Caenorhabditis elegans: one gene and its partners. The protein of the gene in region 1 interacts with the protein of each later gene in a pairwise test. Each region holds a gene or a part of one and is shown on either strand. Other genes may lie near its edges.

Region 1 (5,928 bases):
AGAGTCTTTGTATCCTCATTGATTATCAATTATTATCTCACACGTTTCATCCTCGATTTCTTTCTTTTTCCTACATCAACTATTACTCATATTTTTCTTGATCTTTCTTCTGTCATATGATTTTTCGGGTACTATAGGATTTTAGTTTTCAAGTTTTCACACTCAGACATTTAAATATATTTCTAGATTCTCATAAATGGGTCTTGCCACGACTGTTCCGTATACCTATTCATGAAATACCGTATTCGGTTTATGCTTTTTTTCAATTAAGCATTTTTTAACATGTTTTCATTTTTCTAACAGTAAGACAATATAAATTTACTTCATTCCAGTATTCCAAAAAAACACTTATTTTTTTCCAAACTTACTTTTGTCAAACTAATCATCTACTTTTCACATATCCATCTCCACATACGTGAAAATGTGAATAATTCTTAACTTACCATGGAATTCGTAATTTCATGTTTGCTATAAATTTGAACCATATTATTATGTGTTATTTCTGCTCATTTTTTATCGAACGTCATTCTTAGTTCCTCAGAATAGTATCGCTTTCTACTATTTTTCCAAATGCATCATACTTTATTAGCTCAAATTTCATTCATTTTCGGAAGAGTATTGTTTGCGGGGGATGTTTTTTATTTACAAATATGACACTATTCTGGGAATCTCTACAAATTGGCATTTTTCCAAAATGGTATTTTTCTGTTATAGCCTAGAGATCCTACACATTTTGATGCTCTTTTCATTTATTTTGATCTATTTTTCCTCCTTTTTTGAAGTTTTTTTTTGTGTTTTTATTTTGAACAAATGTTATGAACAACTGTGTAAATATGATCTCAAAACTTTGTCGTCACTTGTGAAAATTTGTGATGATTCAATCGGTTCAAATCACTTTGCCAAAACTACATATGTTTTCTCGGAAAAAAAAACCGTTGTTGAAATTTTCCACAGATACACAAAAACTCCTAAATGCAGAGCCTACACCTGCCTCTTACCTACTCTAAAATCTGTTGAGTGAACCATAAGACATTTAAAGTTGAGCAACAACTTTTTTGGGAAAAATAAACATTTTGGAAATTTGCAAGCAAAATATGTGGCTTTTCACAAAAACTAGATTACAAAAAATACTTTCATATTTCTCAAAATTCTTAATCACTTTCTTATAAAAAATTTGTAATGTTATAAATTTTTGAACTTGTTGTATGATTATCGGATTTTAAATTAGTAGTATACTACTTTTTTCCAAATATAAAGATAGAATATTAATAATCTTCTTTCTTTTTAAAGTTTTTATTCAAAGATACTTCTAATGCCCCCGAACAAACTCTAAACTCTATTTTGCATCTTATTGAACTTGGTCATTGTGATCTGTTTCTATTTATCTGTTTTCTCAATAGACTCTCTTTCATTGTTGCATTCCTTCATTCCAATCTTACCGTTCTATTTGTTTTTTTTTCATCACAATTTTCCATTTTGCAAGAAAGCCTGAGCCTTCTCCCAACTGAGCCTGAGTGCAAACTCGTGCCAGAAAAGGAGTGGAGGCGGAGGTGAAGATTGTTTGCTCCCGAATCTCTGTACTTGCCCTTTTTCTCATTTATTGACTCTTACTTCCTCGTTCTTCAATATTTCCAAATCATTACAATTTCTTCAAATGTTCAGATGAATATATGGCCGTTCCTGCCGCCTCATCGATAGTTTCATACGGAGGAGCAGCCACTTCTAACTTTTTGACAACACCAGTTACACCTTTTCTTGCGGTAAGTTTACTTCTTTTAACCATAAATGTTTAATTTTTTAATTTTTTTTTGAATTAAGAACGTTTGGAAGTTCAAGCTATATGTACTCAAAATGTGAAAAAACCAAAAATTGAAATATTCATACAGTAACTTAAGAATCTGACACCTCTATGTTTTTTGGAAAAAATTATAGCACACTAGAAAATCTAGGATAATGTTTTTTTCTCCCACAAATTGATTACTTTTTCAAAGTTAAGATATGAACTGAAACTTAGAAATAAATTTTCAGGGATTCTATAATTCAAATTTTGTAACCGATCGTATAAATTCATGTGCTCCGTATCGAGTGGACCGGATCAGAGTGAGTTTGAAATTAGAGATACAGTTGTAAACTTGAAAATGGTTTCCAGAAACAACTACAAGATGAAGAAGAAAATGGGTATCCACCTGCTGATGAGTGAGTTTTTAAGCTTTTCAAACTTTTTGTAACAAGGGATCTCGGATTTTTTACTCAATTCTTGAAATTTGTTTTCTTTCACAGGGCAACGACAATTTATCAAAAACAACAAAAAACATTTTTTTAATCGAAGTGATCATGATCAAAAATTAAAACTTGCCAATGATTTCAAAGGCATTGCGTTTTTGACTAATTTCTACTTCCAGCCGTCGCCGCGGAGCCCTGTTTTGTCGTTCGGGAACCTGGTTGGAGATGCTTCCTATCGAAAATCCTGACGATGGATCGACACGTGTCAAAGTTCATGGAACAAAAGAGGAGAGTTCCAAATTCAGTATAGTGGAGTTTGTGTCAGTGGCAATGAGTCTTGTATCGATTCGAGGAGTTGAAACAAAGAATTTCATTTGTATGGATCCATCGGGGAAATTATATGCAACACCATCATCTAATTATTCAACAGAATGCGTTTTTCTCGAAGAAATGATGGAAAATTATTACAATTTATATGCGTCTTGTGCTTATGGTGACAGGTTTAATCCCTGGTATATTGAATTACGACGGAGTGGAAAACCAAGGAGAGGTCCTAATTCAAAAAAACGTCGGAAAGTAAGTGAAATATATACTCATTCTGCTTTGACAGCTCGTATCGGAGATATTATTACATTTTAGAAAAATAATTTTTAAAACCCGATTAAAGTATATTTTCGAGCATATGTTCGCAAGAAAATGTGGTTTTTACCAAAAATTAGAAGCTCGAGGTCTGGAACGAGCGAATATTTCCTGATATGTACATTAACTTTTCTCTCGTTTCAATAAGTTCCTACCGTACTCGCGGCTACTGTAGCTAGATACATAAAGAAATCCGTGTGCACTTTTTTTTGATTGAAATACATTATCCGTATATTTCAGGCGAGCCATTTTCTAGTTGTTCATCACGATCTTGACCGGTTACGAAGTCCCGTTCCAAATGGAAATGTGAGTTTTTTCGAGACATACAGTTTCAACTTTTTGATTTTCAGGACGTAACCGATCTGGTAGTTGCTTCACTCTTTCACCAACCTCCCAGTCATCCATTATTCCGACAGCAGACCGTTACAAAACCACCAAATCCACATCGTATTTCAAAGTAAGCATTTATATCAAAAGTATCAGATTAGAGCTAATGAAATTTTTGTAGTTTACGAGCAAAAGTGGAAATGACGAACCAAGCTGAGAAGCAAAGATTATTAGAAGAAAAGAAAAGACGAAGAGAAAAGAAGAAACGAAGGAGAGAAGATCGATTAAGAAAAGAGGAACAAATTAGAGAGTTAGTTATTATTCTGAGAAAAAGAAAGCGCAGAGAACTGAGAATTATTATGAAAGTATTGAAAAATAGCAGAACATTTTTTTGGTTTTTAAGATTTGAAGCCAGACTGAAATGGCTTTTTTTGGGTATCGTTCCGTTTCAGTTTTTGAGCGGCAAAAATAAATTCAATGCCAGGTAGCACAAAACTATTTGAAACATTTATGATGATTCCACGTGTGACTTTCCTAGATCTATACCAATTATCAAACGTATTTCAGAGCCCGTCGCCAAGAGCTCAAAAGTCTTCGTGAAGAAGAACTCCGACGTCGTTATCAACAACAACAGCAGCAACAAGCATCTACTCAAACTCGGTACAATCGTCCTCAAAATCCAGCGAATCCTTATCCAACGTATCGACCTCTTCCAACAAGATCAACAGTACAATCTCCACGACCTGCATACAATCCATATTGGCAGTCTCCAGTGACACAGGCTCCTCATCACAATTCCCATCACCATCATCATCACCATCCACGTGTCAGCTCTTCATCAGACCCTCAACAACGTCATCAATCACAACAACACTATCTAGCTCAGACAGTGTCAAATCCAAACCGTCAGAATGTTAACTATCAACGATACCCGTGAACGATCTCTCTTCTTATGATACCCCGCACAGCATCTATCATCATGATCTTCTCATTTTCTTTCCATTTCTTCCTGCCTTCTTTTGCTTAATTAATTTTTTATCAGGGCTGATTTTGAGAAGAAGCGCAGTACATTGTCGTGAAGTTCGTAAGGCACGGTGCTTTAGAAATGAAACCCTTTCTTGTGAATATTGAAACACACAACGAATTTTCTAATTTTCTATTTCTACCTTCATAATATTTCTGTATTAGACTCTTAAAATCACACCATGCTCTAAATACGACAATTTGCGTACACTACTGTTTTTCTTCCCAAGCTCGCCCCTTTTAAGTATGTTTTCCAAGTCTCTCTAAAACACCCCCAACTCGCCACGTGTCTCATTCCATACTCACGGGTTTTGTATTTTGAACATACTGTAACTTACTATTATGAATAATATATATTTGAAAAATATGTATTGTTATTTTAAAAAAATTATCAATGGAGCGAATTTACAAAGACAGGTAATTCAAAAACTTAGAGACATGTTCTCAATCCAATTGAATGAAGGCTTTGCATCCAAATATTCAGCACCAATAACCCATGATGGATTGATCGAACGGATTTCATCGAAAATAAAATGATAATCGATTTCTCCGCGTGTATCACATGCACCTCTATTTGGAACTTGAGCCACTTGAATATAGCCTGAAAAACTCGAAAAAAATCGACGAATGAAAAAGTAATTTCAGAAAAATAGGGCGTAAGCTTATTTTCATCATCATCCTTTTCAACTAACCAATATAATCTTTGAGCTTTCTCATAATTGCTCCAATTTGTCCGTTGATTTGTTGAGCGTGGAATGTGTCCTGAAAAATTACAGTTACTTTTCGAATTCTTATTTTCAAAAAAAATTGTGCATAAAATTCGATGTTTTATGTTCTATTGACTTACATATTGAATTTTCAAATTATTCGATTGATCCATTTGGATCACATCCATTGCATCTTCATAATTATTTAAGTGATATCCAGGAATAGTGTACTTATTGATTGGTTCAATGAGGCATATCAACTTGTGCTCCTTGAACTTTTCGGCGGCAAAACGCACATTTTCAGAATAGGTCTGATGAGCATTTTCCAAGTCATCATCCGATTTCGGAATTCCAGCCATTACGTGAACTCTGAAATTGTTTAGATTACTGTAGTTTGCACCGTTTGAAGTATTAATAAGATTTGAAAGACACTACGTACTCAATACATCACATCCAATGCACATTGTTCCTAATTTGAAATCCCTCTTTCCTCAACTGACCTACAACATCCAAGAGCCTTCGCATACTCAATCGCAGTATCCAAACTCTTTCTAAACTCCTTTTTCGCCGATTTCAAAGAAGCCAATCCTCTAAATCCGTCATCCCAATTCCCGGGCGGTGCATTGATCAAAGTATGTTTAAGATGATACTCATCAGCTGCTTCACGAAGTTTTTCGGCTGGCTCCGTGTAAGGAATGCTCACTTCGACAAGCTTGAAACCCGCGGAGGCGGCTGCTCCGTATCTGAAAAAAATTGTGTGCAAAATTTAGAAGAAGCATGTAAAGTCTTTTTTTTGACAATTTTTGCCGCGAAATTACGGTAGCCGATCTCAAAGCCAATTTTAAATGTGCGGATTTCAAGAGTACTGTAGTAATGAAAATTCGAATTCCAACACAGAGAATTTTTAGTTGCAATTGGAATTTTTAATGCAAGAAATATCGGGAAGTGACAACTACAGTAATCCTCAAAGGCGCAACATCGCTAAATTTTCAAATATCCGATAGCAAAA
Region 2 (5,032 bases), on another chromosome or scaffold:
GTTAATTTTTTTGCAATTTTCAATTTTTAAGGTTTTTGGCAAATGAAACTTTTGTCATTTTTGTTTTCTAAATATTTTGGGAATGATAAAATTTTTCAAAAACATTTATTTTTAGAAGTTGGTTAAAAACGAATGTATTAGAACCATCATTATTCACAAATGCAATTTTGGGTAAATTGATTGTAATAAAGTTGTTCACATTATTTCGTTATGTTTTTTGCTTATATTTCCGAGAAAAGCTTCAGTTATAATTATTGCAAAATGTAGAAAATATAATGTTTGGCTTTCAAATATATGTAGATTAGTTACCAACAAATGAAACCCAATTTTTAATATTTAAAACTGCATTCAAAACAACAGGACTTCTTCTTCTTCTTCAAAAAAAACATGACAATTTTCGAAATTGTTTTTGGTATTCTTATGTATTCGGCTTTCAAACTTTTCAACTAAAGCACAAATGTTCATTTAATTGTAAAGTGGTACAAAAGTAGCTCGTTCCCAAAACCCTGCTCTTTCTGCATAGAACTATCTCAATTACCAGTGTACCAATTACCACTCCTTATATTATCGGCTGTAAAAACCCCAATTTTTTGGTTGTTAGCTGGCGCCGCCACCTGGCGTTGCAAATGAAACCTACCCGTCCAAATAAGTAGTTTTCAAGTATGTCACTAACCAAAATTTTGCTATATCTGTAAAGCCAATTTAACTAGAAATAAACCTATGAAAGTGTCATGTACCGGAGATTTAATCCAGGACTCCACCTTTTCTTATTCCTCAATGAATATGAACATTAAATTCTAGTTTTCATCTTTGTTCATATCTATAATAAATGAAATAAATTTTGAATTGAACCTTAGCAAGTGCCTAAGACGTAGTAGTTATCTTGGTTAAGGAAGAACAACCTGCAATAACAAGATGTCGCTAAAAGAAAACGTTCGTTTCAGTTTTCTTTTCTCATTCGAACTTTGTTCAATTGCACTAATTTTTATACATTTGGATGTCAATCGGAATCCTCCCCTCTTAATATTTCTTCGACGTGATTATCTGCGTTAATTTCTCATATTGAAGTTGGTGTTACAACTTTATTATGTGTATTCAAAAGCTTGGGGGTGTTTCGAATGTCGAGATTTGAAAGGGGGAAAAGCCGTAACAAAACGGAACATTGAATTGTATGGGTAGAGACGGGAAGTTTTGATGAGTGGGCTCAGCACAGAAATTTGAATAACTTCTGCATTTGGTTGATGGGAAAAGGGGAGTGATTGATGAATTTATAGAAAAAAATGGAAAGAAAAACGATGGTTTAACTAGTCAATGGTAATAAATAAATCATATGACAAATAGTATTATTTATCATTTTCAAGATCGAGGTGAGGGGTGTGTGGCGGTAACGTGTCGGTGTGAAGGAGTTAGTTGCCTCCCTCTGTCTCGTTGGCATCAGTGTCATCGGTGGCAGCGTCCGAGGTCCAGAGAGTCAAGTTGTCACGGAGAAGCTGCATGATGAGGGTAGAGTCCTTGTATGAGTCCTCGTTGAGGGTGTCGAGCTCAGCGATGGCGTCATCGAAAGCCTGAAAGATTAAAGGTAATCAATAGCTTTGAAGTTACGATGCTATGTCAAAAACTTAACGAGCACCTGCTTGGAAAGCTGGCATGCTCTATCCGGGCTTGCTGCTACTTCATAAAAAAACACCGAATAATTGAGTGCAAGACCAAGGCGAACACAGTTCGTTGGTGACAGATCTTTATTTGCAATTTCAAGTGCCTCCGCGTAAGCCGTTTGTCCAATGTTGGCTACTGCTAAAATAAAATAAAAACATTAACACACCTGCTTGGCAAGCTGGCAAGCCTTGTCCGGGGCGTTCAAGATCTCATAGAAGAAGACAGAGAAGTTGAGAGCAAGTCCCAGGCGGATTGGGTGAGTTGGTTGCATCTTATCCTTGGCAATGTCGAACGCCTCTTGGTAGCTTTGCTGCGACTTCTCGACAACCGCTGCAAAGAAGGAATATTCATTTCTGGTCTTCTTTGAAACGAGTATGACTATGAGAGGCAGAACTCCCTAGAGGAGAACCCCCAATGAGCTGCCCTAGAGTTTATTTTCAAAAACTACGCATCGATGTGGAATTGGGTCGCGCCTGAACTCCCGTTCTCTGTCTTCCCTATGATATCTTTCCACACTTCACACAAGGATGCATAGCTTACGAATGAGGGTTAGAAACGAGTGCACGGTTATGTCCCAATTACAGTCATCATTTTCAATCACTTACAGTTTCTGTCGTCTCCGGAGGCGACCTCAGCGAGGTAACGGTAGTAGTCTCCCTTCATCTTGAGGTAGAAGACCTTGGACTCGGCGGCTCCAGCCTTTGGAATGAGGAACTTGTCGAGCAAGTTGAGAACGTCTTGGCAGATGTCGCGGAGCTCCTTCTCAACCTTCTCACGGTATTCCTTGGCCATTTGTTGCTTCTTCTCAGATCCTTCGGTCTTCTGCTCAATTGAAGAGATGACTCTCCATGAAGAACGACGGGCTCCGACGACGTTCTTGTAGGCAACGGAGAGAAGATTGCGCTCCTCGTTGGAGAGCTCAGCTCCCAGCTCGGTGACCTTCTTCATGGATGCGGCCATGTCGTCGTAACGCTCAGCCTGAAATTAAAGTTTTAGTATTCAAGAACATCCTGAGACATCTACATACCTGCTCGGCAAGCTTGGCGCGGTTCACGAGCTCTTCCTTTCCGTCAGACATAGTTGATTTAGTTGCTTGAAGTGGATGAGTCACTGAAAAACGAGAATATAAAGAGTTTGATACAAAAAGGTCAAATGAGAAAGAGAAGAAAGAGGGCGGTAAACAAATGAAGATTGTTTGAAGAAAGCAAAGAATGGCTCCTTTCCGTATTCTTATATGATATGAAACTGATGGGACATTTTCATCTCTTCTAACACGAGGCGTATGAGCCCTTGTAGAAGTATACACAATGCATCAAGAAGAAACGAGAAGGACGTTGTCGAGCGAGTAATGTTGAACAGAGTGAGCGGCACCCCTCCCAGCCCTCCCTCTCGTTTTCTGTGCGTCTCTCCCTATCTGCCGAAAGGAGCGCGCACCATCATTTTAGGGTCTGTAAAAACCATTCAAACTGCGAATTTCAGAATAAAAATTATATATTCTGAGAGGGGAAAGTCTGTTTCATCAGCTAAAGTGAAGAAAATATAAGTTTTGATATCTGTGTTTAAAAAGAGCCGTTTGGCGCGCTACAAACACACAATTGCGGAGTGATTCGAGGGGGCTGCCAACAGAAAACCGCCGCCTCCTACGACTCATAAAGGGTCTCTTTCGCAATGTGTCAACAAGAGCGCGCACCACATTTCTTCTTTGAAGGAAGTCAACATAATTTCAGATATATTAGATGAAAATTAGATATTCGGGTTCGTCTTTTTCCGGGCTTTTAGTTGACTAGAAACTCGGCCTAAAATCTTGAACTTTGAATATTTTTGTGCAGAAAATAGGACGAAAACATCGGACATGCGGAGGCTTCTAGGGGGCTGCCTTTTGCCCACCCACCAGGCGCTCGGTCGTCATTTGAAGTCGCTCTGTTATTCAAATAGAAAGAGCGCTCACCATAACTCTTTGGGCCATAATTTACCTTCAAATTATCTTGAGTAATGTATGGTCTGAAAATTTGAAAATGTGACTACAGAAGCTTGCCGTTTTCAAAGTTAAATGATGATTCTTGCATGTTCCTGGATGTTTCTGGAAACTTGGAGCAAATTCAAACAATGCGGCAGCGCTTTGGGGGCTACTTTGACGACCGCTGCAGACTTGTTCTAAATCAATGACCAGCGGCGGTGGGCTCGGAGGCTCGGAGCTGATGCGGTTGGCTCTCGCTTCACAACAGCCTAGGATCGAATATGCAGGGCGCGTAAACATGCAGGCAAAACAGGCTGATAATCGTGTTACTTAACTTGAAAGTGCCTGGTATTTGCCTTAAATTACAAAGGAGATTCAGAAAAATAATTAGCATGATAAATTTACAATTCTAAACTACATATAAGGCCAGGTTCTATTCATTCTTTTCATTAATTCATATGTAGAATTTTACAAAAATGTTTATTACAATAGTATCTGTAATTTTTCCTGATGTTTCTGAAACTGTAACTGGTATTTTGTACAAACATCCATATCAATTAGAATTGGTGTCGCGGAACACATCCGACTGTTGTTTGATCTTCATTTTTGTTGTCTTCACTTCCGATTTTCGAGGAAGTACATGTACATCTTCATTCTTCCTATCCCGAAACCTTTCAAACCCCATTCTATCAAAACAGAATTAGGAACAACAGATGCGTGGTGTGGTGCGCAACTATACAGAGACCTTCAACGCAATTTACGTCTTATCTATTCCACATCTTCTTTCACCGTGCAGTGAGGTATACTCTTACTCATCAATGAGAACTGTTGTCTTACGGGAAAGATTCAAAAACCAGTGAACCCACCTTCAATTTGAAAAATACGTTTCTAAATATATTTATTCGCATTTCTCAGACTGCCCCAATTACCAAAATGGGCTTTTCATTTTTGGCCATTTCAGGATTAGCGGCCGACGGAGCAGTGAAGTCGTGGGAACCTATTAGATGTTTGGTCAAGGTTGTGCCCAGACTCCAAATTGTTTTGAACAAGGCACCACCTGCTGGTCATTTTTCAAATGTTCTTTCTTTCTGAAGGTCCTCTGAGAGATGGAAGGATGTTTGTAGTTTTCTTTATTACGACCACTTTACAATTCAATTCGGGGGAAGCATTTAATTTAAAATTCTTCTCTATGTGTGTGTGTGTGTGCAGATTTCAACTTTCTTTACAACTTGGCTCAATGAGACTTCGATACTTAGATATTGAGACTTCAGACTAACAGAAAATGAGAAATGAATGATCATGTGAAATAGGATATAAGCTCATAAAGTCAAAGTGCATAATACTCCCTAATGTAATATTCATGAGTAATCATTGATGCTTACACTCTGTCTCGACTTCCTATCTGTTCTTGGTTAGCAG
Region 3 (3,510 bases), on another chromosome or scaffold:
AAAACCACCTTTCATATCGCTTTGATTTTCAATTTTAGAACAAAGCCCCGCCTACAATTGCCTGATTTCGTTCTACGCGAGCTGTTTGCTTGCGAATCGATAAAGTGTCGGTTGTGTGGCAAGTGCGCTCCACTGTGCAGGTCTCGCAGCGATTGCCATTTTCCACCGTAGTTCCCTCCAATGTCTTCTCCATTTTCGTAATTTTTTGGTTCGCCCAAATTTTTTTTCGTCATTTTTTGCCTGAAATGTTCGTTTCTTCTCAATTTTTCTTGGATTTTAAGAGTAGATTTGAGAATAGTGGATGATTCTAGTCGATTCAGATCGACTGGAGCGTGATTTAAATCCATGACTCTAAGTGAAATGGGATAATTCTCAATCTTACTCGGCTCTCCCACGGCTGAGGTATGTATTTTTCGTAATTTCGCTTTTCGTTTTTGTTAAATAATCGATTTTTGTAGTATGGGACGTCCAGAGTTCAATCGTGGCGGCGGCGGCGGAGGTAAACTGAATTTCAGGATTTTTTCGTATTATAAATATTATTTTTCAGGTTTCCGAGGTGGACGCGGTGGAGACCGTGGTGGTAGCAGAGGTGGATTTGGAGGCGGTGGTCGTGGAGGATATGGCGGAGGTGATCGTGGCAGTTTCGGTGGAGGTGATCGCGGAGGCTTCAGAGGAGGACGCGGAGGTGGAGACCGCGGTGGTTTCCGTGGAGGAAGAGGCGGTGGTGATCGGTTTGTGTTTTATAATTCTGTTCGCCATCAAAACGATAATTTTTCAGAGGTGGTTTTGGTGGCCGTGGATCACCAAGAGGAGGATTCGGAGGACGTGGATCTCCAAGAGGCGGAAGAGGATCACCACGTGGTGGACGCGGAGGAGCCGGTGGAATGCGAGGAGGAAAGACTGTCGTTGTCGAACCACATCGTCTCGGTGGAGTATTCATCGTGAAAGGAAAGGAAGATGCTCTTGCCACAAAGAACATGGTTGTGGGAGAGTCCGTGTACGGAGAGAAGAGAGTGTCCGTCGATGACGGAGCTGGCTCAATCGAGTACCGTGTGTGGAATCCATTCCGTTCTAAGCTCGCTGCTTCCATCATGGGAGGATTGGAGAACACTCACATCAAGCCAGGAACCAAACTTCTCTATCTCGGAGCTGCTTCTGGAACTACTGTTTCCCATTGTTCTGACGTCGTTGGACCAGAAGGAATCGTTTATGCTGTTGAGTTCTCTCACAGATCTGGACGTGACCTTTTGGGAGTTGCCAAGAAGAGACCAAACGTTGTCCCAATTGTCGAAGATGCCAGACATCCACACAAGTACCGCATGCTTGTCGGTAAGTATTAAATTTAAGCATTTTTGTGTTTAATATTTATATTACAGGAATGGTCGATGTCATCTTTTCTGATGTTGCTCAGCCAGATCAAGCTCGTATTGTTGCTCTCAATGCCCAAAACTTCCTTCGCAACGGTGGACATGCCGTCATCTCTATCAAAGCTAATTGCATTGACAGTACTGCTGAGCCCGAGGCTGTATTTGCTGGTGAAGTCAACAAGCTGAAGGAGGAGAAGTTCAAGCCACTTGAGCAGGTAACCCTGGAGCCGTATGAGAGAGACCACGCTGTCGTGGTTGCTGTCTACCGCCCAGTCAAGGGAAAGAAGGTCTGATCTCCAAAATCATCGTTACATTTTTTTGTTTTGTTATTTTGTTACATGTATACCTCCATCTTGATCGTTAACACTTGTTTTACTTGTTTCCCAATAAAATGTTGTTGATGCTGTCATGTTAGGGATGTTTTACTTTTATCTTTACTTGGTTCTCAACCTTGCCGATATTTCTATTCTACTTTAATTGTAACCTTTATTTTGTTCTTTGTTTAATATATTATTACAGGGTAATGACGTCTACCGTGCAATCGGTTCAGACCTTCGGGCGCAAGAAGACTGCCACCGCTGTCGCTCACTGCAAAAAGGGACAAGGACTTATCAAGGTCAACGGTCGCCCACTTGAGTTCTTGGAGCCACAGATCCTGCGCATCAAGCTTCAGGTTTTTGTTCCGACATTAAATTCCAACTAACTTGTATTTTTCAGGAGCCACTTCTCCTCGTCGGAAAGGAACGCTTCCAGGATGTCGACATCAGAATCCGTGTTAGCGGTGGAGGACACGTTGCCCAGATCTACGCTGTCCGTCAAGCCCTTGCCAAGGCTCTCGTTGCCTACTACCACAAGTACGTTGACGAGCAGAGCAAGAGAGAATTGAAGAACATCTTCGCCGCTTACGACAAGTCCCTTTTGGTTGCTGACCCAAGACGCCGTGAGTCCAAGAAGTTCGGTGGACCAGGAGCCCGCGCTCGCTACCAGAAGTCTTACCGTTAAATTCTTTTTGTTGCACAATAAAATTGTTATTGAAAAAAAAGATTTATGAGATCGAATTTAAAAAGATTTAGAAAGTGAAGCTGAGCAAAAGCATATCAAGGACAAAAATGAATAGTATTCCGGCGATGAGGTCCAATCTTGAGTGTTTAGTTTTTCTCGTGTAGGCAACTTCGAATTGTTGTATTGGTTTAGAGCTTAAAATTCAATCTTATTCTGGTATGGTATAGAAACACTCACCAAATGCACTCAGTTTGAACTTCGCTGATTCCCGTTCCGTTTATTGTACACGTTGATCTCTTCTGCCGAGCACGACTACATCGAAAATCACAACATGAGTTGAACATTTCACATGACGAATAGTCTGCCTGAAATATTGGCAGAATTTTTTCAGGATGAGCTAAACATTTCAAACCTTTGATATGCATTCCTGCGTGTAGACTTTTAAGGATGCTTCAGTGTTTGATACTAAACATGGAATCAGGCAGGCTGGAATAATGATGGCAGTTATTCGCATTATAAAATATCTGAAATTAAGATATGCTCCTTCTGCTAGACTGGATATAAATTGAGAAAGTAAATCTACAGAGAGATTGCAGTGGAGTCAATGTTTGAGCAGAGTTCAGCATACAACAATCGCTAATTTGACAGTTTTCTCTGCTTCTTTCAATTGTGAACTAGTATTGAGCTAGATTGAAAAACCAATTAATCAATTTTTCAGGAACTGCAATCAAACACAACACTGATATGCGGAAAAAGATTGAATACTTTGTTCACAGTTTGTTTTGAACATACGAAAACAGACAAATGACATTGACCCAGAAGAAATCAGAAATTTAGAGAAAATGAGTGGGTAACTGTTAACGAAAATTCGAACGAAAAATTTGAGAGAAAGGCAAAGCTGATGTGGGTGTGTTTATCAGTTTTGCTAGTTATAAGACTAAAGTATTTTTATTATTTATTATCTCGATAGGAATAGTTGTCAAATAATAAAAACAATATATATCATTTTATTGATAAACGGAAATGAATTTTGACCTCGATGATTAACGATAAACTGAAAACAAACAAAAAGTAATCATGTGAACTTTAAAGTTTTTCAACGTTTGAATGGAAAGTAGTAGAAGAATGGAGGTGCATGACC
Region 4 (5,627 bases), on another chromosome or scaffold:
GTGTCGAGACCAGGTACCGTCATTTTAGCGCAAAAAAACGTTCGAGTTTGAGTAATATACGAACTTTGCCATTGACAGAATTCCAACAGCATTCTCCGGATTGGCACGCAACTTGCATTGTGTAACAAGATTTACTGCATCCTGTTGAGATTGGAGCCGAGTTGGTTGGAAATCTCCGTTGCGCATGTATTCCGAATTGTCGACACTGAAAAGTAAATAATATTGCCATTGTTCGTATTATTCAAGAAAAACTCACCAAATCATAGTACTTTCTTGAACCATTTTGGAAATGTGTTGAGCACCTTTGTATGAACTCTGTAGAATGTGAGAAATAAAATTAAATTTAAAACAGTTTGACGAATAAATGAAGGAAGATATTAAACGGTGATTAAACCGTGAGCAAATAAATTAAAAATTATTTGAAGAATCAAATACAAATAAAATCGATTTTTTTCAAACAACAAAACAAGAATAACAAAAATAAAGAATTGAAACACATTAAATCTAGTCTGATTGATTATTAGAATTCTAATGTGGAGTTGTTGGTGCATGCTCTTTCATGTGCTCGAAAATTGGGAAATCTTCCGTGAAATCGTTATTTTTACTGTACAATGGGAACTCTTTTCGGATGGAATATCGAGCCAATTCCTCGTCACGTGGTGTTGTCAGTGTAGGAGAAATCATCTGAAAAAGGGAAATTCAATAATTTTCTACAACTTTTCAATCTTTACCTGTTTGGATTCATCTACTGAAATATGTGTAATCCTTCCTAACATAGGAACAATGTATTGTTGATTTACAACAACGTAGAATCGGAATAGTTTTGCTTCGATATCAAAATTCGGGCCAGAAATTGGTTTAGCGGCGAGGAAAATTGTATTTTCAGCAACGAAAACTCCCATTTGACGAAGTGAGCTTTTTACAAGATTCCTATCAATCGTCCATTGATTTTCCATATTAACTTTGATTGGAATGACCATTTTTTGCAAATCTCGTCCAACCACTTTGAGCTCATATGGAATTCTGATTCGAGAAGCAAGTTCTTCAGCCATTCGCTGAAATTATTATTTGATTGAAAAATATAAATTAACATTAAAACCCACTGTTTTCATATCTGAATAGTACTTTAAATCAAACGGCGACGCGTAGACGGCTTTTTTAGATAATAGTAAATCCTTTCGGGCCAAAGTCCGATCCACACTAACCACATCGAACTGATGGCCAATTCCTGTAAAAATGAATTTTTTACATTTGCTTTCTTTTATTTTAAAAAACTACCTTCAACATCTTGAAGTAAAATCACATTAATCGGACCAGCGGATTTTTGTGTTTCGAACTCAACAACTTCGTATTTCTGGTAATCGTGGAAATCATTGGGATTTTTCTGTACTCCGCCGGGCGGTGTGACTTCTGGTTGGAATACTCGGCGCAATACCCATGTGTTCTGAAGAAAAACATAAAATAACTTATTAATTGCTTCAGAACTTACTCGGCTTGCCTGGCGATTAATATGTTGCACAAATCGATGAAGCTGTGAAGCTGAAAGCATAATTACCTGAAAATATCAATTTTAATTAAGTGTTTCGCTGAAAATAAAGTGATTTCATTCTAAAATACAGAAATAGATGAGAAAAGAAAATGCGCGCCGTTGTCGATGATGACAAATTTAAAGGCACACCGACTTTCGCAGCGGGAATATCTCACCACGCACGAGTTCACATTTGGTTTTTTCTCTGCGCTCTCTCGCATTTGCGTACTCTTTTCATGTTCTGGCATGTATTTTCAAAATTATTCGGGTTTTATCAGTTTTCCCGAGATTTTACTATTTCTACTGAAAATTTCGTTCTAATAATTCAATTATAACAGCCGTTTTGTCAAAACTTGCTCAAAAATAACGTGTTACTTGTTTCAGATCGTTATTCTTGGGAAATGCCTCCGATTCCTAGCCGGGCGAGGGTCTACGCCGAGGTGAGCAAGTTTGTATAGCCAGGAGTTAATTATTGAACAGAATATATTGCTCATACATAACTCACAATGACGGAATTAACGTTATCCGTTTAGTTGTGGAATACTGTGAAACACTGTACGCCACATTTGTTAGATTTTATAAATGTTCATAGGAATTTATAGTCTCGTAAAGAAAAACTATTTGTAAAAGTCACTAAATTATGTTTTTATGAGTTTATATATTATAAATCACAATTGTTTCAGGTGAATCCGTCGAGACCACGCGAGTACTGGGACTATGAGGCTCACATGATCGAATGGGGACAAATCGATGATTATCAGCTGGTACGCAAGTTGGGACGTGGAAAATATTCGGAGGTTTTTGAAGGATTCAAGATGAGCACTGACGAGAAAGTTGTTGTCAAGATTCTCAAGGTAAGTTTTACAAAAATAATTGTAATAAAGCTTTCAAAATGTAATTTGTTTGTTTTCAGCCAGTCAAAAAGAAGAAGATCAAGCGTGAGATTAAAATTTTGGAGAATCTTCGTGGCGGGACAAACATCATCACCCTCCTCGACGTCGTCAAGGATCCTATTTCGAGAACTCCGGCTCTTATTTTCGAGTTGGTTTACTATTTGAAGATTTTTAGAATTAATAATTTCTATTTGAAGGCATGTTAACAATTCGGACTTCAAGCAATTGTATCAAACCCTCAGTGACTATGATATCCGTTACTACCTCTACGAGCTCTTGAAGGTACTTTTTTCAGCTGTCCATTAATTTTTGAATTCATAACGTTTCAATTTATTCTCCAGGCTCTCGACTTCTGCCATTCTCAAGGAATTATGCACAGAGATGTTAAGCCGCACAATGTGATGATTGACGCCGAAAAACGGGAACTTCGATTAATAGATTGGGGATTAGCCGAATTCTATCATCCAAGACAGGACTATAATGTTCGTGTTGCTTCTAGATATTTCAAGGGACCCGAGCTTCTTGTCGATTATCAATGTTACGATTATTCGTTGGATATGTGGAGTTTGGGATGCATGTTGGCTAGTATGATCTTCAGGAAGGAACCATTCTTCCACGGCCATGATAACTACGATCAGGTAAGCACTTTAAGCTGAAGTAGCAAAGAACCGCAAATCCACAAATTTCATTAAAATCCAATATTGGAATATAGAAAACATTTGATTTATCTGATTATGGCTTTTATTTCAGTGAGAACAATGGGGAAAAACGCTTAAAAAATTACCGGAAAGTTTAAAATTTCCGAAAAAAACCGAAAATTTTCCAATTTTGAGCATTTTTCAATTGTTCCAGCTGCAAAAAACTATTTTCAGATAAAGAAATTATTTTTTTGAATTCCATAGCTAAAATTTTACTGATAAGTTTGGCTTATTCCGTAGAATTTCTTGCCGGCGATTGATTCGCACCCCTGAGCTGAAATTTAAATGAATAAATAATATTGTCAGGTATTTATTAAATATTCATCAATAATTTTTATGATTTTTAATATTTTATAAATTCACGAAATCTGATTTTCTTATAAAAAGTTTTTTGCAGCTAGTCCGCATTGCAAAGGTATTGGGAACTGATGAGCTTTACGAGTACATTGCGAGATATCACATTGATCTCGATCCACGCTTCAACGATATTCTCGGGCGACACTCAAGAAAACGCTGGGAAAGGTATATTTTGATCGAAGCGAAGTTTCATGTTTTTCTTAAAATTCATTTGTTGTAGATTTATCCACGCTGAAAATCAACATCTTGTCACCCCAGAGGCTCTTGATTTCCTTGATAAACTTCTTCGCTACGATCACGCGGTAAGAATCGGAAAAAAGAGAAATTACACCAAATTAGTTACTGAAAACCAGTTTTAACAAGAACACAGAGAAATAAAAACAATTTTCACTTGTTTTATTGAAAAAAAAGACATTTGATACTCGAAACTAACTATAAATACTTTTATTTGTTAAATTAATTTATTTCCAGAACTTTTAATAAATTTCACCATATTCAGGAACGCCTAACTGCTCAAGAGGCCATGGGTCACGAATACTTCCGCCCAGTTGTTGAAGCACATGCTCGTGCCAATGGAACTGAACAAGCTGACGGACAGGGTGCATCGAATTCCGCTTCTTCTCAATCCTCCGATGCCAAAATTGACGGCGCTTAAAATTTCTTTCTATTTTTTTTTTAATTTTCCTGTTGACTATTTCCTTTTTTATTAATTTCCACACCACTCCTCTCCATCATTATTCCTTTGCTCTAAAAATTGGCTAAGATATTAAATCTTCCCCGCTTCTCCGAAAATTTCCCTCTACGTACCACAAAAGTGCCTAATCTTTTCGTGAGAAACGTTCTTTGCAAATTCTATTTTTAGGATTTTTTTGTGTAATTCATGCCTCTGAAATTCCGTTTCAATTTTAAATCTTTTTTGTCCCATTTCATATTGTTCTCCTTCTTCTCCCCTTTCCTCTTCCTCAAACAACCACAATCATCATTTTTATAAATCGAATCACAGTTCGTGAGAAAAAAAACTGTTACTTGTAATCAATATTGTCTTTGGTTTGAAAAACCTACTATTGTTCCTATGTTGAGTTGTGAACTATGTTCACTTTTAGAGTTTTAGATTTAAAATGCTCAACGGACGAGTGCTCCTTCGATCGATTGCTCGCCGGACAATGGCATCGAAAATTGAGCCAGGATCTCCGCAGCCGATTTATTTGGATGTTCAGGCTACCGCGCCAATGGTAATTAAATGGAAATAATAAAGCATGATTAAAAATAATATAAAAAACTTGTATCTGGAAAAAATTAACGAAACTTTTCAGATACAATTTAGATTTCGAATGAGTTTTTTTCTAACCTAGGCACAGTTTAAGCTAGTAGGCATTCTAAAATTGCGGCTTATGGCCTAAAAAGGGCCTAAGCGAACAAAACCAGCAATAAATTATGATAATTATATGAAAACTGATTTACGACAGCGCTGCGACACTGAAAATATGACATTTTACAATACTTTGAACCCATATAATATTTTTTTTTTTATTTTTCATAAATTTTCAGAACATTTCATTGCGAAATTCAGTAGTTTGAGACCATTTTTGGTATTTAAAAAACCAATTTCTCAGTTTTCGGTTCTCTAAATGTGACTAAATTATTTTATTTCCAATTTAAGTGAAATCGTAGCTTAAGAAACTAGGAAAAAAATGTGCTGGGATTTTTTTTGAAATTCCAAATTTTAATATTTTACAGGATCCTCGAGTAGTCGACGCAATGCTTCCCTATATGATCAATGATTTCGGAAATCCTCATTCAAGAACTCATTCATACGGATGGAAAGCTGAAGAAGGCGTTGAACAAGCGAGAGAACATGTTGCAAATCTTATAAAGGTTTTTTTTTCTGAGAGTTTTATTCAATTTCCTTGTATTTTCAGGCAGATCCTCGTGACATCATCTTCACTTCTGGAGCCACTGAATCAAATAATTTGGCGATTAAAGGAGTTGCAAAGTTTCGAAAACAATCTGGAAAGAATCATATTATCACGCTGCAAACTGTAAGATTGCTATTATTAGTCCGCAGAAAATTCGCTTAAAACGGATTTCGCCACCAAACACCTAACGAGACCCATGGTTTGGAGGCGGAGCGCGTTTTCACATAGATTTCCA

Evidence for each region.
Region 2: the proteins of let-756 (region 1) and ftt-2 interact in binary tests that used the Caenorhabditis elegans proteins (3 or more experiments, as listed by UniProt).
Region 3: the proteins of let-756 (region 1) and rps-16 interact in binary tests that used the Caenorhabditis elegans proteins (3 or more experiments, as listed by UniProt).
Region 4: the proteins of let-756 (region 1) and kin-3 interact in binary tests that used the Caenorhabditis elegans proteins (3 or more experiments, as listed by UniProt).

What each region holds. Positions count from the first base shown.
Region 1 is NC_003281.10:6,405,467-6,411,394, forward strand, and holds let-756 (Protein let-756), read left to right. Parts: upstream 1-1,662; 5' UTR 1,663-1,670; coding exon 1,671-1,760; intron 1,761-2,028; coding exon 2,029-2,100; intron 2,101-2,149; coding exon 2,150-2,196; intron 2,197-2,402; coding exon 2,403-2,799; intron 2,800-3,102; coding exon 3,103-3,168; intron 3,169-3,212; coding exon 3,213-3,319; intron 3,320-3,370; coding exon 3,371-3,499; intron 3,500-3,756; coding exon 3,757-4,126; 3' UTR 4,127-4,567; downstream 4,568-5,928. Other genes in the region: C05D11.5 (Putative hydroxypyruvate isomerase), read right to left, coding at 4,635-4,813, 4,905-4,974, 5,060-5,288, 5,420-5,662. UniProt on the Caenorhabditis elegans protein: Required for larval development. Probably by binding receptor egl-15, negatively regulates membrane protrusion from body wall muscles during larval development.
Region 2 is NC_003284.9:11,602,647-11,607,678, forward strand, and holds ftt-2 (14-3-3 domain-containing protein), read right to left. Parts: upstream 2,774-5,032; 5' UTR 2,735-2,773; coding exon 2,684-2,734; intron 2,635-2,683; coding exon 2,262-2,634; intron 1,987-2,261; coding exon of another isoform or gene 1,823-1,986; intron 1,795-1,822; coding exon 1,631-1,794; intron 1,566-1,630; coding exon 1,407-1,565; 3' UTR 1,062-1,406; downstream 1-1,061. UniProt on the Caenorhabditis elegans protein: Required for extension of lifespan by sir-2.1. Required to modulate lifespan, in concert with hcf-1, acting redundantly with 14-3-3-like protein par-5. Promotes nuclear export of yap-1.
Region 3 is NC_003283.11:14,998,918-15,002,427, reverse strand, and holds rps-16 (Small ribosomal subunit protein uS9), read left to right. Parts: upstream 1-1,886; 5' UTR 1,887-1,890; coding exon 1,891-2,040; intron 2,041-2,084; coding exon 2,085-2,369; 3' UTR 2,370-2,410; downstream 2,411-3,510. Other genes in the region: fib-1 (rRNA 2'-O-methyltransferase fibrillarin), read left to right, coding at 460-499, 548-731, 779-1,329, 1,377-1,660; T01C3.11 (uncharacterized protein), read right to left, coding at 2,437-2,563, 2,607-2,734, 2,782-2,883.
Region 4 is NC_003279.8:10,732,110-10,737,736, forward strand, and holds kin-3 (Casein kinase II subunit alpha), read left to right. Parts: upstream 1-1,912; 5' UTR 1,913-1,929; coding exon 1,930-1,968; intron 1,969-2,033; exon of another isoform or gene 2,034-2,147; intron 2,148-2,211; coding exon 2,212-2,382; intron 2,383-2,441; coding exon 2,442-2,569; intron 2,570-2,618; coding exon 2,619-2,703; intron 2,704-2,762; coding exon 2,763-3,059; intron 3,060-3,516; coding exon 3,517-3,641; intron 3,642-3,696; coding exon 3,697-3,778; intron 3,779-3,975; coding exon 3,976-4,131; 3' UTR 4,132-4,506; downstream 4,507-5,627. Other genes in the region: rpn-10 (26S proteasome non-ATPase regulatory subunit 4), read right to left, coding at 65-205, 257-282; mrpl-9 (Large ribosomal subunit protein bL9m), read right to left, coding at 529-684, 732-1,055, 1,104-1,228, 1,279-1,444, 1,490-1,549; nfs-1 (cysteine desulfurase), read left to right, coding at 4,640-4,708, 5,214-5,351, 5,396-5,515. UniProt on the Caenorhabditis elegans protein: Casein kinases are operationally defined by their preferential utilization of acidic proteins such as caseins as substrates. The alpha chain contains the catalytic site. May participate in Wnt signaling.